Mus musculus: one gene and its partners. The protein of the gene in region 2 interacts with the protein of the main gene of each other region in a pairwise test. Links are inferred from orthologs where the notes say so. Each region holds a gene or a part of one and is shown on either strand. Other genes may lie near its edges.

Region 1 (3,662 bases), on a different chromosome or scaffold from region 2:
AGCGTAGCTTTGTCAGAGCAATTAAAAGGAGAAAGTTCCTGAAAGCTAGAGCAACCCGCCCCCATCCCCAGCCACCGCACCAAGGGCAGAGCTGCAGAGGCAAGCTCATTGTATTGGAAGGCACAGGGCCTCCCGCAAGCTGTTCAGATAAGCAGCTGTCGAGGCAAAGGTGGGGGGAGGGGGCGGAGCGGGGGAGGGGAGGTACTGGAGGCAGAAGTCACTGTTATCGAATTGGATTGCAAGCCTGGAGCTCCTGCACCCGGATGCCTTATCAAGTATGCTCCTGTCTTGCAAGTTTGAAATCTTCCTGAAAGGCTCAAACAGTACTCTGGCCCAAGTTCTCCCGTTTACTACTCGCCTGCACCCCCTCCCCCACCGCCAGCCCCAGGAGGCTGCAGTTTCTTGCCCCAACAGAAAGGTGGTCCCAGGTGCCGTGAAACATCCTTTACCGCCGCCCCCTCCCCATTAGAATCCCCTACCCTCAATAAAAAGGCATTAAGTTTGTTTCAATAAGTTTATTGTGATATTCAAAGCTTCCACGATAGCGTCCTTTAGAAAATGAAAGCATTGCCCGGGATCCGTTTTTTGAAAGAGCAGTGCAGTCGGCTAAGTCCAGCTCGCTCCTGCAGTGGCCGCTCCTGCCGCTGTACCAAGTCCAGGCGGTCGCCTGCCTTTCTTTCCCCTCCTTTCACTGGAAGGCTGCTTGCTGAGTCACACCTGCCTCGCTGGTCGGTTCTTCCCGGCCCTGGGGCCAACGTCCTCGCCTAGGCCTTCCTGTGCTAGCAGCCTCTCCGGACACTGGCAGAGTCCTGGGCTCGGAACAAGGTGTCCCCGCTGCCGCCAGACCCCCTTCTTGGGAGGCCGCGCTCCTCGCTCTCCAGGCAACATCGCCTGCCAGTCTCCACGCGCACTCGAGCGCCCTCGGAGGGCCACTCCAGAGCCAGCAGCGCGCTAGAGTGTCACCAAGTCGATCAGACCAAGGTCCCTGCCAGGCTGTCACTCGGGAAGGGTGATGCTGGGCACCCAGTCGTTGAAGCTGCGGCTCTCCTCGCAGAACAAACTGAGCTTCTCCAAGGCAGGGTCCTTCCATGTGTCCTCATTAGGATTCTGAATTTAAAAAAAAAAAAAATACATGGGTCAGCCATGCTTGTCGTTGGCCAGGATGGTTTGGGGGACTGGCGTAGGGAAACAGTGGGGGACACTCACCGAAATGAGGATGCAATGCAGGTCTCCCGGCGCGCCCCCCTCTTCGTCGGCGCCCACGATCGCCGCCAGCCTCTGCACGTCTCCCACGCGCACGATATCAATGTCGTTCTCACAGCAGAACGCCTGAATCAACGTGAAATGGATCTGCAGCGCTATGTCGCCCTCATCTTCTTCATCGGCAGCCAGCACGCAAAAGGTCACATTGTCAGGGTCCCTGCAGAGCAGATGGGAAGGACAAGGTCAGAGTCGATGCCACCCCCAGGTCTCCGCGCCGCGCCAACCCCAATCCCTGCACGCGGGGCCTTTCTACACTCACACATTCAGGACTTTGGCGGACTCGTAGACGCCAGCGGTCAGACAGCCCTGGCGCTGCGCCGACAGCAGAAGTTCGTGCAGTGCTTTCCCGGCGCCCTGCATCCTGTGAAAGAACAAGCGCCGTGAGTGGGGACCAGCACGGGGACGCGACGGAGAGATCCCTGCCCTGACCTCCAAGTCCCAGCTGGCCCCTTAGCCTAGACCTGCCTGGCGCCAGCATTCCTGCCTCCCAACTCCAACCTGGCGCCCACACACCAGGATCCCCAGTCCCGACCTGGCGCCCACACACCCGGATCCCCAGTCCCGACCTGACGCCCACACCTCTGGCACCCTAGTCATGATCTGGCGCCCTCATTCCCCATCACCCAGTCTCGACCTGGCGCCTGCACTCCCAGTTCCCTACTTCTGATCTGGCGCCCGTATATCAGGCTCCCCAACTACGATCAGGTGCTGGCACCCCAAACTCTAGCTCTAGACACGAATCGAATGCAGTAATTCTGGTCCCGCGCCTCGGCACCTCACAGCCAGACAGTGCACGGCTCCCACCCTGCAAACTTCTATCCTAGAGGACCCTGTAAGACCACTACCAGACAAGGCCAACTCTCGGCACCCCAAAACCCACCTGGCTGTGCTTTCCGGAACTGTATCCTGGCCACGGACTTCTTCCAGAGTCATTGTGCGATCCACGAACAGCAAGTTATCCAAAAGAGTGCGGAGGGAACCCGAGCGCAGGTAAAGATTCCCAGAGTCCGATGCGCGCCCACCACCAGCGAGTGCGCCAGGCTGGGCCGGGAGAGCCCTTTTATAGACAGGCTCGGCGCGCCGCCGCCAGCTGGCGGGAGGCTGCACTCCCATTGGCCAGCGCCCGCTTTCTGATGCAAATGAGGCGGCAGGCCTGCGGCTCGTGCCAGAAGGCCACGTGGGGAGGGGTGCGGGGGATGACACAGCCTCAAATCTGCCGCTTTTGTCAGGGTGTTACCAGGCAGACTGGAGCCTGCAGATTTCATCTCGCCTTTCTTTTTTTGTAAGTCCTTAAAAGGAAAAAGTTTAAAAAAAAAGTACGTTGTTTGCTGATACGATACTGGAATTTGTAGAATGCACACTTGGAGAATGTAAAAGCCCCCTCTTTTTTTTTTTTTTTTTGCTCTTTTTTTTTTTTTTTTTTTTGCGACCTTTCTAATTTTTCCTCAATTTTCAGTTTGAAGTTTATAGGGTTGTTACATCGAAACCGAAACTTAAAGTCAAAGGTTTGCAACTGCAGCTGACATTAGGCCTAGGCTGCCACTAGGGACTCAGGACTCTGCGCCTTTCGGGGTCGCGGCTGCAAGGTCTAAGCCCTCCCATCCCCCACCCCTACCCCTAGCAGATCGCTGTGGGACGCGGGCAGCAGGGACCAGCAGATTGCTGCCGGCACACGCGGCTCGTTTGCATTTCTATACGGGGCACACAAAAGAGGAGGTCTGGCGTGTGGCAGTTCGCGGTGGGGACAATCGACGCTTTCTCTTTCATAGCAACACTGTCCACCTGCCGCCGGTGGGGTGGGCCGAGCCCCGTCGGGAGCCGGGGTCGCGGGGTTGCCCGGCGCGTGGGGGTCGGAGCAGCGTGCCGCTCCCCCGCCACTGGGTGCGCACCTCTTAGGCTTATTCTGACTGCTGGGATTCTGATGCACGCGTGCTAAGCTCGAGAGTGAGCTGTACACCAAGGCTACTGTGCCCCAAACCCCAGAGGTTCCGGGGTTCAGACTCCGGGAACTCGGCTGTTCCACATTGTTTTTCCCAGGGCGCCGCCTACCGGCCGACCTAGAAAAATCCAGATCCTCTCATCCACCCACCAAATATTGCCTCGCGTTGACCTCTCAGGGGGGTTTGAGCTGGGACACCCCAAGCACCGAGAACCCTGTGCTATTATGCGCATCATTTAGAATCAGGGTAACGCCTGCACCGGGCGCCCGGGCCTGGAGACCGAAAGGAGCCTGCCACCCAGGACCAAGAATCCGTTTGTCTTATGAGAATTTGAAATATTTCAACTACTTAAAAATGTTTCTTCAAGAGGTTCTTTTCTGATAACGTAATAAAATTAGAAGTGATCTTGAGAGCTTTCTGAACTTATCGTTTGTCCCGTGGGACCTGCACATCAGGCTT
Region 2 (4,259 bases):
TTGCTTTGAACTGGTTCCAAATTGTTTTATATTTAAGTTTTTCCCTTGACTGTGGAACTCTTCCCCAGAAACAAATAGTTCCTTTGCAAATCCTGTGTGTTTTTGTGAACACTAGACAGAGGCCCTCAAATGCTCCTAGTAAGGTTGGTGCAAGAACATCAAATGTTTGTAACTGGGAAGTGATGTTGTACACCTGGGAGAGGAGATCCAATGATGGATAATCAGATAGGATATCTTTGAGCTAGGAACTGTAACTTGGTGATAGACACCCTAGGGTTCCATCTCCAGCACCCCATATCCCATTACAAAATAATTCTTTTTCCATCTCTAGCATTAAAAAACAAAACAAAGAAGTTCTTCTTTCCTCTGAGAAACACTTCTGTGTGCCTGCTCTGAGAGGCATTTAAAAATGGCCAGGGCTTTAATCCCAGCAGGTCCAGGTCGGATTCCTGTGAATTTGAAGTCAGCCTGGTCTACTACCTATTCCAGGGCAGCCAGGGCTAAAAAAGAGAGACCTTGTCTCAATAACAAAACAATGCTGGTATGATCGCTAGAATTGCAGCAAAGAAAGGGATGTAACTAACAAGGCAAGCCATTTTTGAGAAGCAGTGATTTCACAAGTGTTAGGGATGGGCGCTGGGAGATTGCTGATGCTGGTATTTAGATGAGACCATGTGGGGTGGATTAGATTATTTTCAGGTTTCTCATGTTCAATCAAATGGCTGTACATACACATGTACACATACAATCTTTTTAGTGTAACAAACCTAGAATCAAAGTAAAGCTAACTGTAGGATTGAAGCATATTCTGAACTGAACCCTTAGGGGTGTGAAGGCCGCTTCAGGTTTCCAGAGAATCAACCGGCATTGGATGGAATAAACCAAGGGGCCAGCCCAGGGGCAGATCGGTCGAGCTCTCCGCTACTGAGCTAAGCCCTTGGGTTCTAGAGCCGGGAAGGGTCCCCAACATTGTGTTCCTCTCCCAGCCAGGAGAGCATGGGCTGCGGGAGGCGAACAGAAGGATAGCGGGGCTGACGTCGGGAGGTGGCCTCCGTGGGAAGGGACACCCGGATCTTGACACAGCCTTGGCAGCGGAGTAAGGAAGAGTAGGGATAGATTCTGGCCGCCCTCTTGGCCAGCTTCTCGCCGCCCCACCCTCCGCTAGGGCCAAGAGTAATTCATACAAAAGGAGGGATCGCCTTCGCCTGGGGAAGTCCCAGGGACCGTCGCTAAATTCTCATAACCCATAATCCCGGTACCCGCCCCACCACAGTGCGAGGAGCATGCGCTCAGGGCTGAGCGCGGGGAGAGCAGAGCACACAAGCTCATAGACCCTGGTCGTGGGGGGAGGGGCGCACTGAGCGGGGGGGGGGGGGGTGATGGGGGGGAGGACCGGGGAGCTGGCGCGGGGCAAACTGGGAAAGCGGTGTCGTGTGCTGGCTCCGCCCTCTTCCCGAGGGTGGGGGAGAACGGTATATAAGTGCGGCAGTCGCCTTGGACGTTCTTTTTCGCAACGGGTTTGCCGTCAGAACGCAGGTGAGGGGCGGGTGTGGCTTCCGCGGGCCGCCGAGCTGGAGGTCCTGCTCCGAGCGGGCCGGGCCCCGCTGTCGTCGGCGGGGATTAGCTGCGAGCATTCCCGCTTCGAGTTGCGGGCGGCGCGGGAGGCAGAGTGCGAGGCCTAGCGGCAACCCCGTAGCCTCGCCTCGTGTCCGGCTTGAGGCCTAGCGTGGTGTCCGCGCCGCCGCCGCGTGCTACTCCGGCCGCACTCTGGTCTTTTTTTTTTTGTTGTTGTTGTTGCCCTGCTGCCTTCGATTGCCGTTCAGCAATAGGGGCTAACAAAGGGAGGGTGCGGGGCTTGCTCGCCCGGAGCCCGGAGAGGTCATGGTTGGGGAGGAATGGAGGGACAGGAGTGGCGGCTGGGGCCCGCCCGCCTTCGGAGCACATGTCCGACGCCACCTGGATGGGGCGAGGCCTGGGGTTTTTCCCGAAGCAACCAGGCTGGGGTTAGCGTGCCGAGGCCATGTGGCCCCAGCACCCGGCACGATCTGGCTTGGCGGCGCCGCGTTGCCCTGCCTCCCTAACTAGGGTGAGGCCATCCCGTCCGGCACCAGTTGCGTGCGTGGAAAGATGGCCGCTCCCGGGCCCTGTTGCAAGGAGCTCAAAATGGAGGACGCGGCAGCCCGGTGGAGCGGGCGGGTGAGTCACCCACACAAAGGAAGAGGGCCTGGTCCCTCACCGGCTGCTGCTTCCTGTGACCCCGTGGTCCTATCGGCCGCAATAGTCACCTCGGGCTTTTGAGCACGGCTAGTCGCGGCGGGGGGAGGGGATGTAATGGCGTTGGAGTTTGTTCACATTTGGTGGGTGGAGACTAGTCAGGCCAGCCTGGCGCTGGAAGTCATTTTTGGAATTTGTCCCCTTGAGTTTTGAGCGGAGCTAATTCTCGGGCTTCTTAGCGGTTCAAAGGTATCTTTTAAACCCTTTTTTAGGTGTTGTGAAAACCACCGCTAATTCAAAGCAAAAATGGGAAAGGAAAAGACTCACATCAACATCGTCGTAATCGGACACGTAGATTCCGGCAAGTCCACCACAACCGGCCACCTGATCTACAAATGTGGTGGAATCGACAAGCGAACCATCGAAAAGTTTGAGAAGGAGGCTGCTGAGGCAAGTATAAGGCAAAAGGAGGGATGGGAATTCTTTAAGCAGGGAGTAGAACCTAGGTCTTGGGTGTACTAATTAGAAGTCACTTTGCAGATGGGAAAGGGCTCCTTCAAGTACGCCTGGGTCTTAGACAAACTGAAAGCTGAGCGTGAGCGTGGTATCACTATTGACATCTCCCTGTGGAAATTCGAGACCAGCAAATACTATGTGACCATCATTGATGCCCCAGGACACAGAGACTTCATCAAAAACATGATTACAGGCACATCCCAGGTGTGTAAAATTTACCCATTCCTGACTCAGGATATTTTTTAGTGGGGTGCTTTCTCTGAGATAATGGTATATGATTGTCTTGTTTCTTACAGGCTGACTGTGCTGTCCTGATTGTTGCTGCTGGTGTTGGTGAATTTGAAGCTGGTATCTCCAAGAACGGGCAGACCCGCGAGCATGCTCTTCTGGCTTACACCCTGGGTGTGAAACAGCTGATTGTTGGTGTCAACAAAATGGATTCCACCGAGCCACCATACAGTCAGAAGAGATACGAGGAAATCGTTAAGGAAGTCAGCACCTACATTAAGAAAATTGGCTACAACCCTGACACAGTAGCATTTGTGCCAATTTCTGGTTGGAATGGTGACAACATGCTGGAGCCAAGTGCTAATGTAAGTGACTTTTAAGGTAGTTGAATGGAGAAAGCCGCAATAAGTAAGGAGGTTATAATTGACTGCCTGTGTTTTAGATGCCTTGGTTCAAGGGATGGAAAGTCACCCGCAAAGATGGCAGTGCCAGTGGCACCACGCTGCTGGAAGCTTTGGATTGTATCCTACCACCAACTCGTCCAACTGACAAGCCCCTGCGACTGCCCCTCCAGGATGTCTATAAAATTGGAGGTAAGTAGAATATTAAGTAGAATGTTGACGTGAATTTGAAGTCTTATGTTTTGTGTATTAAATACTTATACAAAACAATACTATTTTAGGCATTGGCACTGTCCCTGTGGGCCGAGTGGAGACTGGTGTTCTCAAGCCTGGCATGGTGGTTACCTTTGCTCCAGTCAATGTAACAACTGAAGTCAAGTCTGTTGAAATGCACCATGAAGCTTTGAGTGAAGCTCTTCCTGGGGACAATGTGGGCTTCAATGTAAAGAACGTGTCGGTCAAAGATGTTAGACGAGGCAATGTTGCTGGTGACAGCAAAAACGACCCACCAATGGAAGCAGCTGGCTTCACTGCTCAGGTGACACATTTTTAAGATAGGTGGCTAGATTGGTTGTGTGTGCAGAATCACAAGGCAAGACTTAAATACACGCTGTTTTTCTTAGGTGATTATCCTGAACCATCCAGGCCAAATCAGTGCTGGCTACGCTCCTGTTCTGGATTGTCACACAGCCCACATAGCATGCAAGTTTGCTGAGCTTAAAGAAAAGATCGATCGTCGTTCTGGTAAGAAGCTGGAAGATGGCCCCAAGTTCCTGAAGTCTGGCGATGCTGCCATTGTTGATATGGTCCCTGGCAAGCCCATGTGTGTTGAGAGCTTCTCTGACTACCCTCCACTTGGTAAGCCTGATCTGAGTCTGCTACACTGAACATCAAGTTTGT
Region 3 (4,221 bases), on a different chromosome or scaffold from region 2:
GGTGGATTTCTGAGTTCGGGGCCAGCCTGGTTTACAGAGTGAGTTCCAGGACAGCCAAGGCTACACAGAGAAACCCAGTCTTGAACCACCCCCTCCCCCGAAATTAAAAAAAAAATAGATAAAATAAAAATTCTTAGCTTGACTTACCTTGTCATCTAGAACTACTTTGGTGCCTCCATATTCTGGGAGAAGAACTTTATCTCCAACTTTCACACTGACAGGCTCAATCTCTCCACTCTGATGAAAACAGTCACTTGTTAGCCAAGAGTCTGCTTGTCTTGTTCATTAGACACACAGTGAACTTTTTGTTTCAGTATGCACACCAGGGGCCTCCTGCCTCAGGTTTGTATTATAGGCATTAACCAGTCACATTAAACTCTGTAACTTTTAAATCACTAAATTAATGAAATGTGCCCAAACCAGTATGTTCTTAGGTACCTAATTAGTGGTTAAGCAATATAATTTACATTAAATATAGATCCCTACAATATAAGAATTGCATAGTTACAATATGAAGGAGACACTCACTAAAACTTCATTTCAGTGGACAACTAAGGCTGGCTAACTTTCTACTGTTAAATATTAACACACCCTGTAGACCAAGTAAAATAAAGCAGCTTGTACCACCAGACGGTAAATGATCATGTATGATTCCTTTCAACAAAAATTCGGCATTACCTTTCTCCGTTTAATATACATTTACTGACTGAATGCCCTTGTTATCTATCAAGAGACTGAAGTGGAATGTCTACTCCCCCTAATACTCTCGCGATTTAGTTAAGTAAAGAACACCCACAGTAGTTCCACCTCCCTTCTCAAGTCTCATGCCAACTAAAACTCAATGGTGTAAGATTAAAACTATTTCAGTGTCTGGGCTCCCCCACCCCTGCCACTTCACCCTTTCTTTTTGGGGAAGGGAGAGGGAGACAGGGTCTATATCAAAATTGACAGGCCATCAATTCCGGATCCTTCTACCTCAGCACTATACCCTTCTCCCAACCTGTGCTTAGAATTAGTTCTGTGCCTTATTAATAAATACCTCCTTCAGCTCTGAAATGGCCGTGGGGGTTTATCTACTTGCGCGATCTTTTTGTCTATTTAAAATTTGAAGAACAGGATATAAAATAGCTACAGAGGTTATTTCATATTGTAAGATTTTGTTTTACTTTTTTGGGACATGGTCTCATCCTGTACCTCCTGCTGGCCTAAAAAGATTCTACAGTCCACCTGCCTTAGGCTCCAAAGAACCTGGGCCACAGGCATGAGCCACCATCAAGGCAGGCACTTTTCAGCCTCTAGAGCTTGGGGCACTGCAGAGTTAGCTCAGTGGGTAAACAGGTAAGTAGACTTGCTATGAAAGTAGGGGAGCCCAAACCAGGATCCTAAAACTAGAGTAAAAAGGCTGTAACCCGCAACATGTTGAGGCCCAGAAACCAGACTAGTCAACACTTTACCCCAAAGGAGTAAGGTGGAGATGCCCCTGCTACACAGCATATAGACATGTGCAAACACGTCACACAAATACCTTTTGCCTTTCTTCAGAAACATAAAATAATTCTAAAACAATATAAAACAGTCATTTTCCTGAATGGGAGGTTCTTTGTGAATTGAAATTTGACTTGAAATTCTTCCCCCCAAAAATGCCATTGTAATTCATTTTTTTAATTACCAAAGGAATTCCCCTCCTTCCACATCACACTGGAATTCAGTACCACTCCAGGGGCACCAGTTTACCTTTCCTTTCCCTCCTGACCCCACAGCCACGACCGTTGCTTGCAACACTTTTCCTTGAGACTTTTCTGGAAGCATAATGCCACCTTTGGTTACAGTTTCGGCAGCACTCCTTTCAACCAATACTCTGTCAAAGAGCGGAAGAAACTTCCTAAAAGCTTGTCCAGCCTGTGGAGAGAAATGTGATCAAACAGAGTGTAAGTTCGAAGTGTCAGAACACGAACAGTTAAGACCACCGCAAGCCTTAACTCTCAACAGGTCAAAACTGACCTGTTCCAAAAAGGACAAGAAAATTCAAGTGTACTTTTAGAATATACTCAGTGTTCCACTCTATATAGGACAAACTGAGTTTCATTTCCCTGTCTGGTGTGTGTGTGTGTGTGGTGGTGGTGGTGGGGGGGGGTCTTCATTACTAATCAGCAATCGCCACCTTGATCTATTCCAAGGTCAAACATTTCTTTAATTTTTTTAAAAATTCGAATAACGGGGGAGTGGCGTCACTTTTCGAGCCTGGATCTTAGTCTTTCTCCAACATAGGACACATCCACTGAAGCCCTGCCAGGGCAGGTGGGCTTCTGCGTGTGCATCGGGTTCCCGCCCCCTGCCCCAGACGCTTTGTCGCACACGTGCGTGCGGCAAAGCCATGGTGGAGAGAGAAATGGCCTCGCTTCTGCAGAGCCATGGGCGGACACCGGACACTGACCAGACCCCGGACCCCTGTCCTATTAGTCCCAAAGCGCACAAGGGTTCGCCGTGGGCCGCAGGCCGAACTGGACCCGCAGGCCTGCCAACCACGAGACACTCACCATGACTCTCGCCTTCGCCGCCACCACCGCAGCTCCGGACTCTGAACTCGGGCCGCTGCTGCAAGGAGAGTCCTGCTGGCCGGCTGGGACACGTGAAAAGGCCGCGCAGCGCGCAGGCGCACTCAGCCCCCCGAGCGTGAGAGGGGGCGGCCACGCCGACGCGCGCGCCGATTGGTGGCGAGGGCTCCGCGCAAGGGGGCCGACGCGGGCGGCCGGAGGCGGAAGAAAAGGGGAGCACTTTCTAGGCTTTTCCAGGCCGGCCGCCGAGGTGAAAGAACGAGCCCCCCTCCCGGAAATGACGCCACTTGACCTTTCACCCACGGGACGCGCGGGGCCTTCCGGAAGGTTCTAGAACGGACCGTGGCCCAGGAACCAGCGTAGGGCGGCGGGAGAGGGCTGAGGCCGCAGAGCTGAGGCGGCTCTGGTACGGAGGGCGGGGCCGCGCGCGCCGCATGCAGATTGCAGGGCCCCGGCGTGGGAGAGAGCGGGGGGCGCGCGCGCGCACACGCGGGGCCGCGGGGCGGGGCGGGGAGGGAGGGGACTCGGGCTCATTGCGGTGCGCGCCCAGAGCTGGGTCCCTCACTCGCCGCAGACGGCCTGCCTCGCCTCGTGCTCTCCTGCCGCCGCCCCGCAGGTACGCGGCCTCGGCGTGCAGGGCGCCCCGGCGCTCGCGGGGGGCTGCTTGCAGCGCGGACCGAGCACGGAGGACTAGGGGGAGAAGTCTGGCAGCGACGCCGCAGGCTCGGCTCACTTGTCCAGGCCCAGCGGGGCCACGCTGGTTTCATCACGTGTGGCGGGGACCACGCGATCCAGGCCGAGCGCCGGAGCAAGGGCGGGCTAGGGTGGAAGCAACTTGGGCCCTCTGGTGCCACCTGCGCCTGGCGCACTGCAGGACTCTGTGGGAGGGTGGTCGGGGTCCTTTAGTCCCCGGTGGCCGCGGCGGTCCGGTGTTCACTTTGACCTTGCTCGGGGCTCCTGGTCGGGAAGACACGTGGGGCCGCGAGGCTGGACTGACCTACTGTCTTTTCCTCCGGCCTTGCTAGCTGCTGTGTTACCGTAGCTTCGGGTGGATACCTGGCGACACACTCAGAGGGTTTTGCACCGTCATGAGTACTTCTGTAGTTCTCTAGGCAATTGCATTTAGAACCTGCCTTGCTTGCACCAACTTGATTTTTTTCCTTTGGACACTTTTCGGAGTGGATCTGCTCCCAAGGCCGCTTTGGCAGTGAAAGATTAACTTGAGAGGGCAGAGTGGGTGGCCATGGGGATGTGGTTTTCTGTGCTTTGTGCTTATGCTGTTGGTCAGGCTTGGGGTCAGCCTCCATGATCAGTTGGCTAGCAGATTATGCCCTGAATCTGCAGCGCCCAGGCATGGTGGTTAGCAGAGGACAGCCCAGCTCCAATCTAGCCTCCCATGTTTTGAAGCACCGTTGGACAAGTTTGTAGTGATTTTTCTTTTTTCCTTCCCCAGAAATGCTTCGACTACCCACAGTCCTTCGCCAGATGAGACCAGTGTCCCGGGCACTGGCTCCTCATCTCACTCGGGCCTATGCCAAAGATGTAAAATTTGGTGCGGACGCTCGAGCCTTAATGCTTCAAGGTGTAGACCTTTTAGCAGATGCTGTAGCTGTTACAATGGGGCCAAAGGTACCAGTATACTTAAATGGTGTTAAAGAATATAGTA
Region 4 (4,164 bases), on a different chromosome or scaffold from region 2:
AAACACCTTCTCAAGCATATAAGGAAGCTGTAATTCAAGTCATCTGATGGTAGTAACTATTTTATAGGAACCTTGCTGAAACCAAGAAATTCAAAGGCGAGAGTGACAAAAAGCATTCAGTATGGATAAGGGGCTTGTTGATGCTAATTAATTCCTTATGGGAAATCTGAGTTTCTCTTCCTATGCTCAATCTCAAAGAAGCAGCCATTACTCAGAAGTCCAGTTGTAAGATCACCTTGCCAGCATATGTGAAGACCTGTGAGCAACTATTTCTGCTAGCAGAAGCTAGCTGGGCTCCTTTCAAATGTCCCCCGAGTCTTTACTATTACTTTGACTTGTATTAACTAAATCAGGCTCTAGGCACAAAAGGTAACCACCAAGCTTATTATAGATCCCTGAAATAAAGGGGTTTACTTACACCTAAAACTAAGGTAGTAGACAATATAACCTGGCAGAAATTCTGGATTGACTATTACTACATAAAAAATCCGTAGGCCAAAGTGCAGCCCGGAAATCTATTGGAAATAGCAACTTCGCACCTTGAAGGTTTTACTTAGTTTTTTTTTTTCCTCCACATTTGCATTTAAAGAGTTTTCATTAGTAACTTGGCAAATGCTTCAAAAAAATTTACCTTTGTTCCAAATGGCTGCTTTTTGTATAAGACATAACTATATTACTTTTGTCAGGTATCATACCAGCAAAAGATCAGAGCTCTAAAAAACCTGCATCAGTTATAAGGATTCTTGGGTTTACTAGTTTCTGACATTAATTAACTTTAGCTATTTACCTTTCTGGACTTAGTTCCTTATCTGTAATTGCTACAATTTATTGAACACCACACAAACACATCTTGGTTCTGTACTGGGTGTTTTAAGCTTTGGAGCCAGCTTTAAAAACATCCTATCTCAACCATTCATTAGGTGTTTGACCCTGGGCAAGGTACTTTTAAGCTTGCTAAATTTCTTGACCATAAAGGGCTTTGGTGGGGGGGGGGGGGCAGGAAGGGGGGTTATGTACGTTTTATAATGAAAACACTAAGAATAGTGCCTGGCTGGGCATGGTGATGCACACCTTTGTTCCCAGCATTCAAGGGATAGAGGCAGGCAGATCTCTGTGAGTTACAGGCCAGCATGGTCTACAAAGTTTGTTCCAGGACAGCCAGGGCCACGTAGAATAAGTTTTTAAAAAAAAATGTCTTAAGACAACACACACATAATGTATGTATGAAATAAAATAACCCAATGAAGAAACTGAAGCCCCAAGAGGCTCCTTCTGTTCGGCACTCATGTTGCTAGCAGACAGCATCGGAGAATGGGGTTGAAGTCAGACGTGTCTAACTAGGAAATCCCTATTTTTACTGACAATAACTTACTGTTGAGAGTGGCTGGACTAGCAGCCAGCATCATCCATTTTCAGGGTTATTGAGGCAATTAAGGAAATAGTGTAGCCTGACTGTGCCTGCACAGGGAATGCATTCAGTAAAGATGTCCTTATCTAAAGCCCTTTTCTAGACCACTTAAAATTTATTCAAAACCATTTTAGTAGGAACAGTTGTAGAACTGGGAGGAACATTTCTGCCTTTAAAATGCAACTGAAAGGCTTCAACCATCTACTCTTACTTGGAGATAGTCTCTATGCCCTAAAGGTAACAGGAATAAAAGCTAGAAAATAGTAGCAGTGTAAGTTAAGGCTCTCAGAACTTCAAAGGGAGGCTGGTAGGAGACACTTACAGCCCAGATTAAGTCCTTGTGAATCTGTGCATAGGACTCCAACAATGGATGGATTCTTCATTCTAATTTTGGGAGCACAAGAAAGATGAACCAGATGATGTGAAGAAAATATTTCAAATTACTGTAGTAAAACAGATTTTCTATGCACCGAGTATTAAGCACTTCAAATCAGCCCTTAAATTTTTTCGCCCCCTTTCAGAGGACAAACTGTGAGTTGTTTAAATAAACAAAACAAAACCCAAACCATTTTCTCAGGCACCTCTGCTTCACAAAGACACAAACAAGGCAGTTATCTTTAGGGCTCTGTCCTTGGTATAGAAGCATGCTCTAGGACTGCAACTCCTGAAGACAACTGTTAAATCTCAGTAACGGGAATTGCTCCTGGAGGGGATTAAGAAGCTCAAGGAGGAGGTGTCTTCTTGTAAGCCACTTTACACCTCCCAATTTTAAATTTTACAGAGATAGCTGAAAAACTTTACGGATATATTTACTTCACAAGCGCTGAGCAACTGACGGGCCACAAACGCGGGAAGATGTGCGTGAAAGTGCTTTGGCACTGCGGGGGCTCGATTTAGCACACCCGGGGCATCCTTCCCCAAACTTAATCCGTTTCCCAAACTTCTCAAGAGCTACTCGATTCTGCGAACACGCCTAACGAAACTTTACTACCCAGTAACGAGCGGCCCGGCCGTAGGCAGAAGTCACCCGCTCGCCGCCCCGAGTGCCCCAAACGCTTCCGCAGACACTCGCGGTCCATGCCGCTGTCCCATTCCAGCTCCCCTGTCCGGAGCCCAGGACCGGCCGCACGCACTACTCACGTGTCCTCCAAATGCTGCTCCAAAGTCGCCTCCATCCCGCAGGCTGTCCGCCCCAGGCCAGGACCCCGCAGCAAAACACTTCCTCCTTCACCGCAAACCTCGATCACGTGACTTGACCGAGGCGGGCGCCTGGACGGCGTCTCCAGAGGGACGAAATTCAGCGCGGCGCCGCGTCCGCGCTCTTTACGAAAAGGCATAGCTACTACCACAGGACCAGTGATGGCTGGCTTTCGATTGGGGGTGCTGGGCCTTCAAAGCAATCTGTAGTCGGGCCTCAGGGCCTTTTCCTGACCTAGCACTTGGACTTAGTGATTTTTAACCTTTGGATTTGGTTCAAGCAATTTCCAGTCCTAACCAGACGTAGACCTGGTTTAAATTTTAAAGTAACCAGCAGGTCTGGCATGGTCTCATCTATGCAATAGGCCAATCGCTAAGAAGACAGTGCTCAGTTTCTGACCCTAGGTCAAGAGGCTGAGGTGTATACTTTACCTATCAAAGCAGAACTGGCCTCCAGGTTCTGCATCCCTCAGTTCCCACCTGGCATACCTTGCCCCCAACCCTGAACTTTCCAGCCCAGGGGCTGGGCTGCCCTTCCCTTTCTATAGGGCTCCTTTCTATAGAATCCAGACATTTTGGTCTCCTTCTCCTTTTCTCTCTCTGCACACATTCCCCCTTCTCTCTTTCTTCCTTCCTTTCCCAGGAAACTTCGCTGGCCTTGGTCCTTGGGGCCAGTGAACTCACCCACCGGCTGGCAGCTTCCCAATAAACCTGCCTTTAACATCATCTACTCTGGTTTAAATTGATTCATTTCACCAACATCGGAGGAGAAGTAACCTATCACACAGGGCCGATGGGGAGGGGTGCACACACGGGACTAAAGGAAGAGATGGCACACGTTGAAACCCCAAACTGCGTGCTGGGAAAGTGTCAGAATCTTAACATTGGTACCTTCTTTGTTCTCGTAGGTTGGCCTCGAATTCTCCCACCTTTGTCCTGTGATTTACTGCCATGTGCCATATTTAATTTGCATTGATACTTCTAATAGCTAGGTCATGGGAAGTTTTAGGGGGAAGAAATTAGGTTTAAGTTTTAGGTGTTAGTGAAGACCGTGTATTATTACTTTAAAATAACTGAGCTTTAAAATTTTTATTCCCTTTTCTGTTTTAGAGACAGTATCTCATATACCCCTCATTGCCCTCAAATTTGCAGTGTGTCCGAGGCTGGCCTTGAAGTATTGATCTCTCTGCTTTTACTTCCCAAGTGCTGGGATTACACCAACATGCCTGGGTTTAAAAACTTTAGAATAAACTAACCACTCATAGTCCTACTGTGAAGAGATGATAGTTTGATAAGGATATTTTGGAGACTATCTTTTCCATATGGCTATCTTTGCAAATGTATTATTTGAATTTTTTTTGTTTTTTGTTTTTTGTTTTTTTTTTTTTTTTGTTTTTCGAGACAGGGTTTCTCTGTGTAGCCCTGGCTGTCCTGGAACTCACTCTGTAGAGAAATGTTTTTTAAAAGCAAAATCAATATACATACTATATATACAATTCTGAATTATGTAGCAGGGATTCTTCACAGAATTTATTATAAATACCTTTTCAGGACAGTAA
Region 5 (4,213 bases), on a different chromosome or scaffold from region 2:
GGCTGGTGACGATTACTAAAACCACTGGCCGGGAATGCTCTGTGTGTGTGTGTGTGTGTACGCGCGCGCGCGCGCGCGCGCGCGAGCATACATGCATTCGGAGATTCAGAAACTGCTGCCTCTGAGCTCCAGCCATAACCTCCAAAGTTGCCTTCGCTAGGGGCTGTACATTACGAAAGTACTAAAGCTTTAATATAATTCACCTAGGACATCCACTGTGGGCAGCTAGATAAAATCTGGTTACGGCATCACACTCTGTATATGGGACCATCGTATCGTACTCGGGTGTCTGCCAGAAACTCCACAATGAACTGAGCACGTTTGATTGTGCAGATGATGGAGTTCAGCTCCGGCTCTCTTCTGGCCCAGTTGGGTGATCCCCGAAAGTCCCTTCTCTTCTAAAGGTCTAGTCCTCATGGGCCCAATGCGGGGAAAGTGCGGGATACAAAGGGATGGGTTAAAAACTTGTAGATTAGCGCGCATCAAAGGGACTCGCGGCGTACAAGCGTGAAGCATGTCCCTCCACCGACATGCCATCAGACCACCCCTTTACCTGAGTTTAGTTGCCGCTGCCAAACACGTTCACAGATCTGTAGCGCACAGCCAGTTTCCGGGGGCTAAGCTTCGCTGGCCCATTTAACGCAAGAGGGCGTGTGCTTTGACTGAGCTGACCCGCCTCAGGAGAGGCAGGAGGGGAGGAGCTTCGGGCTAGTCTATCATTGCAGGAGGAGATGCGCGCGCATCCCTGGCCAGCCCCGCCCTTTGGCCTTCCCCGATGCCGCTGCCCCTACAATTTCGAGATCGCAAAGTCTTGTCATAAGTGCAGCTCCACACAGTTCTCCTGGGTCCCCGTCTCCTGTGTCACCCAGCCATTATGTATGGCCTAGCTTTCCGCTGGACCTTCGAGGCCCTGCACCTTCCCGGATGACCCCACTTCCGTTAGCAGCATAGCCACGCCTTCCCTAGCTGCTAGTTTGGCTTCGGAGCTGGACTTTCGCAGCTTCCTCTAGGCTTTTTCCTTGGTGGGGGCCCAGCGGCAGAGAGCCCAGTAGCAGGACCAGACTGAAACTTGGGTGTTTTAGTGCGGATGCGGTGCCTTGAAAATGGGGTAGGGGCGAGTGTGGGCGTGGTGACGCACTACTTTAATCCTAGCAGACGGGAAAAAAGAGGCAGGTAGATCTCTGAGTTCGAGACCCTGGTCTTATGGGACCCTGTCTCAAAAAAAAAGTGTGTGTATAAGTGTGTGATGTTTATCAGTGAGGAGAGCTCTGGTGTTCTGCTGGCCGACGCAGGCTGGCGATCTAAGACTTTTCTTTGGAACAGAGTATGGCACTTTGGGGTTTTGATTCACTGGTTAATCTCCAAGCCTTTGAGTCTGTGTTTTACTTCCGGATCCCGCACTTACGACACCGGAAGCCGGAAGTGGAGTTTTCCACTGCAGAGAAGGGAAGGGTGACCGCCTGACTAGGACTTTCTAGGAGCTCCGGTTCTGTCGGAGCGGTCGGATCCCTCTGCTCCTGCCCTCTTCACTTCTGGCCGACTCTGCTGACAGGTGTGGTCCTCTTCTCCAAAGACAGGGCTCCATCGGTGGCTGTTTCGTAGCTTCCGAGACTCCAGAGGTCCACACCCTTCCCCCCACCTTAGGCCCAGTTTGTTCTGCCGCAAGCTTCTAATTATTCGCTACCCAGATTATTTAGGCTAGTCGGATTGAATCTGCCCTTCCCTTCACTGCAGCTGTCGCCTAAGGGCTTGGCCCCTAGTGCTAGAACTCTTTAGGTAGCAGACATTTTCTGTTGATCAAACTGTTTCTGAAACACGTTTTGCACTGTAGGCCAGGTAGACCTCGAACTCAAAGTTCTGCCTCAGCCTTTCGAGTGCTAGAGCAACAGGTGTTCGCCATCAGGCTAGGCTGTTTATCAAACTTGAGTGCATTTGAAGTCTTTAAAAAGTTTTCACGTGTACCTTCACAACTAAAGGTCTTACCTTCTGCACCTCAGTTTACTTTGCAAATGATTCATAGTAATCTGTTTGCCTGTCCTCATAACATTTATCTGACCTGAGAAGGAATGTGTTGTCTTGGCATTTCCTAGGAAAAAGGAAGGACCAGAGAGGGCAAGGGAGAATAGTTGGTGGAGAGGAAGGAAGGGAGTATAGGTGGTATAGGATCTTGTAGGCTGTTGTATGGACTTTGCTTTTTAACACTAGGAGAAATGGAAACTCTGAAAGAGTTCATGGTAGAGAAGAGAAGTAGTTTGAGTTATTTTTGAGGTAATTGGCCCCAGTGGGGCCAATTAACTGCAAAGGGCCATTGAAAAGGCAAAGCATGGTGACCCGTAAAGAGATTATTGCAGTAATGCAGGTGAAAGATGATAGCGCTGTCAGCCTTGAATTACTGAAAAAATTTAAAATGTACAAAAGTAGAAATAATAATATAGTAAATTCCATGTACACATTTCTTAGCTGTGACTATCAGCTCATAGTTAACTTTAATCCACACCCCATTACAATCCTTTACCATGATTATTTTCTTTTCTACAGAAGATGTTATTTTATGTGTATAGGTGCTTTGCTATGCTTTCCTAGTGCCCAAGGGAGTCAGAAGAAGGTTTCAGATCCCCTTGGATTGGAGTTACAGATGTTTGTGAGCCACATCTGCAACAACAAGTGCTCTTAATCCCTGAACCATTATCTCTCTTGCTCCACCCATTGCGATTTTCAATAACAGCTTTCTTGAGACATAATTGGCATGCTACAAAAATTACTATTTGTGTGTGTGCCCCCCACATGCATGCATGATGTATGATTTGTACAGGGAGCACAGGTGCCATGGCTAGAATGTGTAGAGCTCAGAGGACAACATTGAGTCAGCTATCTTCTTTCCACCTTTATATGTTCTCATGTCTCCAGGCTTGCATAGCAAGGGCCTTTATCCACTGAGCTGTCTCCCTTGCCCATACTTCAATATTTTTTTAAACAGTCTCTTCTAGATCCCTTCCCTTTGAGTTTCTAATCCCCTGGAGCTGGAGTTACAAAAGGTTGTGAGTTGCCCAACATGGGTGCTGGGAACTGAACTTGGGCTCTCTGGAAGAGCACTGAGTGCTCCTAATAGCTGAGACATCTCTCCAACTTCTTTTAAGACTTCTAGACATCCAAGTAGTTTTATAAATATCTGGAATTTAGGAATGAGAACTGTTTGGGATATTATCAACATTAAGATTTGGGTTAAAAGCCATGAGACCGGATGGAATTACTGCAGGGGTGAATGCAGTTAAGAAAGAAGTCCCAAAGTTCCTCAACGTGAAGAAGTGGGGACTCAGGAAAAGGGCCTGAGCAGCATCAGCCTTTGAGGGAGTGAGTCACCAGCAGAGAAGGCTTTTCTGGAACCTGAAGGAAGAAAGTAGGTGAAAAAGTGGGGAGGGTCAGTTGTGTGGGCTCAGGCAGATGGACCTATGGGTAGCAACACCTTTAGTATAAATAGCCAATATTCCCCAGTGTTACAGGAGGTCTCCCTTATTGAAAGCCCACTTCTGGAAACTTGCATTGAGATCATTCTCTTCCTGGTTGTCAGTATGAGGCAGGATTTACAAGGTCTCCAGGTTAGTATTGTCCTGCATATTCTCTGGTTTAAAAGCCAGCATAAGCAGATCAGGGGTCATGTGTCTCGGACACCCCAGTTCACACTTTCACACTTCTTAGAGCAAAGAAGTCACAAGAGGTCTCTATCCCCAGTGAACACTTTTCAGGTACAATGTGGTCTCCTGAAGTCTCTTTTATCATGTGTTTGTGTTTTCTTGACTCCTGTAAGAAGTGACCACAGGCCAAGTGGCTTAAAAGAACAGAAAATTGATATCTCACAGGTCTGGAGGCCAGGAGAATAAAACCAGAAGGTGAACAAGGTTATGCTTCATCTGCAAGCTGTACAAGAGTATCCTTCATGTGTCTTATAGTTGTGGGTAGCTCAGTTGTTTCTTGGCCTGTGGTTATATCAATCTAGTTGAGTAATAAGGTACTTGTTACTGGGCTCATGGCCCACCTATATAACTTGCAGTGATCTCAATTTGAGAGCCTTGATTTTTGTGAGACAGGTTCTTACTATGTAGAGCAAGCTGGCCTTGAATTCGCAGAGATTGTGCCTTCTAAGTGCTGGGATTAAAGACATGCACCACTATGCCTGGCTTGAAATCCTTAGTTTAACTACATCTGTAAAGACCAT

The links.
Region 1: the proteins of Eef1a1 (region 2) and Gadd45g interact in a two-hybrid assay, tested with the Homo sapiens proteins (2 studies listed by BioGRID and IntAct). The link is inferred for Mus musculus from reciprocal best matches to the Homo sapiens genes EEF1A1 and GADD45G.
Region 3: the proteins of Eef1a1 (region 2) and Hspe1 interact in a two-hybrid assay, tested with the Homo sapiens proteins (2 studies listed by BioGRID and IntAct, with this or other methods). The link is inferred for Mus musculus from reciprocal best matches to the Homo sapiens genes EEF1A1 and HSPE1.
Region 4: the proteins of Eef1a1 (region 2) and Lamtor5 interact in a two-hybrid assay, tested with the Homo sapiens proteins (2 studies listed by BioGRID and IntAct). The link is inferred for Mus musculus from reciprocal best matches to the Homo sapiens genes EEF1A1 and LAMTOR5.
Region 5: the proteins of Eef1a1 (region 2) and Ikbkg interact in a two-hybrid assay, tested with the Homo sapiens proteins (2 studies listed by BioGRID and IntAct, with this or other methods). The link is inferred for Mus musculus from reciprocal best matches to the Homo sapiens genes EEF1A1 and IKBKG.

What each region holds. Positions count from the first base shown.
Region 1 is NC_000079.6:51,845,314-51,848,975, reverse strand, and holds Gadd45g (growth arrest and DNA damage-inducible protein GADD45 gamma), read right to left. Parts: upstream 2,302-3,662; 5' UTR 2,197-2,301; coding exon 2,144-2,196; intron 1,625-2,143; coding exon 1,523-1,624; intron 1,421-1,522; coding exon 1,207-1,420; intron 1,108-1,206; coding exon 997-1,107; 3' UTR 501-996; downstream 1-500. UniProt on the Homo sapiens protein: Involved in the regulation of growth and apoptosis. Mediates activation of stress-responsive MTK1/MEKK4 MAPKKK.
Region 2 is NC_000075.6:78,478,916-78,483,174, reverse strand, and holds the start of Eef1a1 (elongation factor 1-alpha 1), read left to right. Parts: upstream 1-1,450; 5' UTR 1,451-1,536; intron 1,537-2,486; 5' UTR 2,487-2,520; coding exon 2,521-2,664; intron 2,665-2,754; coding exon 2,755-2,934; intron 2,935-3,026; coding exon 3,027-3,323; intron 3,324-3,400; coding exon 3,401-3,551; intron 3,552-3,640; coding exon 3,641-3,897; intron 3,898-3,982; coding exon 3,983-4,217; intron 4,218-4,259. UniProt on the Homo sapiens protein: Translation elongation factor that catalyzes the GTP-dependent binding of aminoacyl-tRNA (aa-tRNA) to the A-site of ribosomes during the elongation phase of protein synthesis.
Region 3 is NC_000067.6:55,086,729-55,090,949, reverse strand, and holds the start of Hspe1 (10 kDa heat shock protein, mitochondrial), read right to left. Parts: upstream 2,803-4,221; 5' UTR 2,541-2,802; coding exon 2,538-2,540; intron 1,900-2,537; coding exon 1,735-1,899; intron 238-1,734; coding exon 148-237; intron 1-147. Other genes in the region: Hspd1 (60 kDa heat shock protein, mitochondrial), read left to right, coding at 4,011-4,184. UniProt on the Homo sapiens protein: Co-chaperonin implicated in mitochondrial protein import and macromolecular assembly. Together with Hsp60, facilitates the correct folding of imported proteins.
Region 4 is NC_000069.6:107,277,498-107,281,661, reverse strand, and holds the start of Lamtor5 (ragulator complex protein LAMTOR5), read right to left. Parts: upstream 2,805-4,164; 5' UTR 2,746-2,804; coding exon 2,549-2,745; intron 1,793-2,548; coding exon 1,731-1,792; intron 1-1,730. UniProt on the Homo sapiens protein: As part of the Ragulator complex it is involved in amino acid sensing and activation of mTORC1, a signaling complex promoting cell growth in response to growth factors, energy levels, and amino acids.
Region 5 is NC_000086.7:74,428,270-74,432,482, forward strand, and holds the start of Ikbkg (NF-kappa-B essential modulator), read left to right. Parts: upstream 1-1,411; 5' UTR 1,412-1,552; exon of another isoform or gene 1,553-3,397; intron 3,398-4,213. UniProt on the Homo sapiens protein: Regulatory subunit of the IKK core complex which phosphorylates inhibitors of NF-kappa-B thus leading to the dissociation of the inhibitor/NF-kappa-B complex and ultimately the degradation of the inhibitor.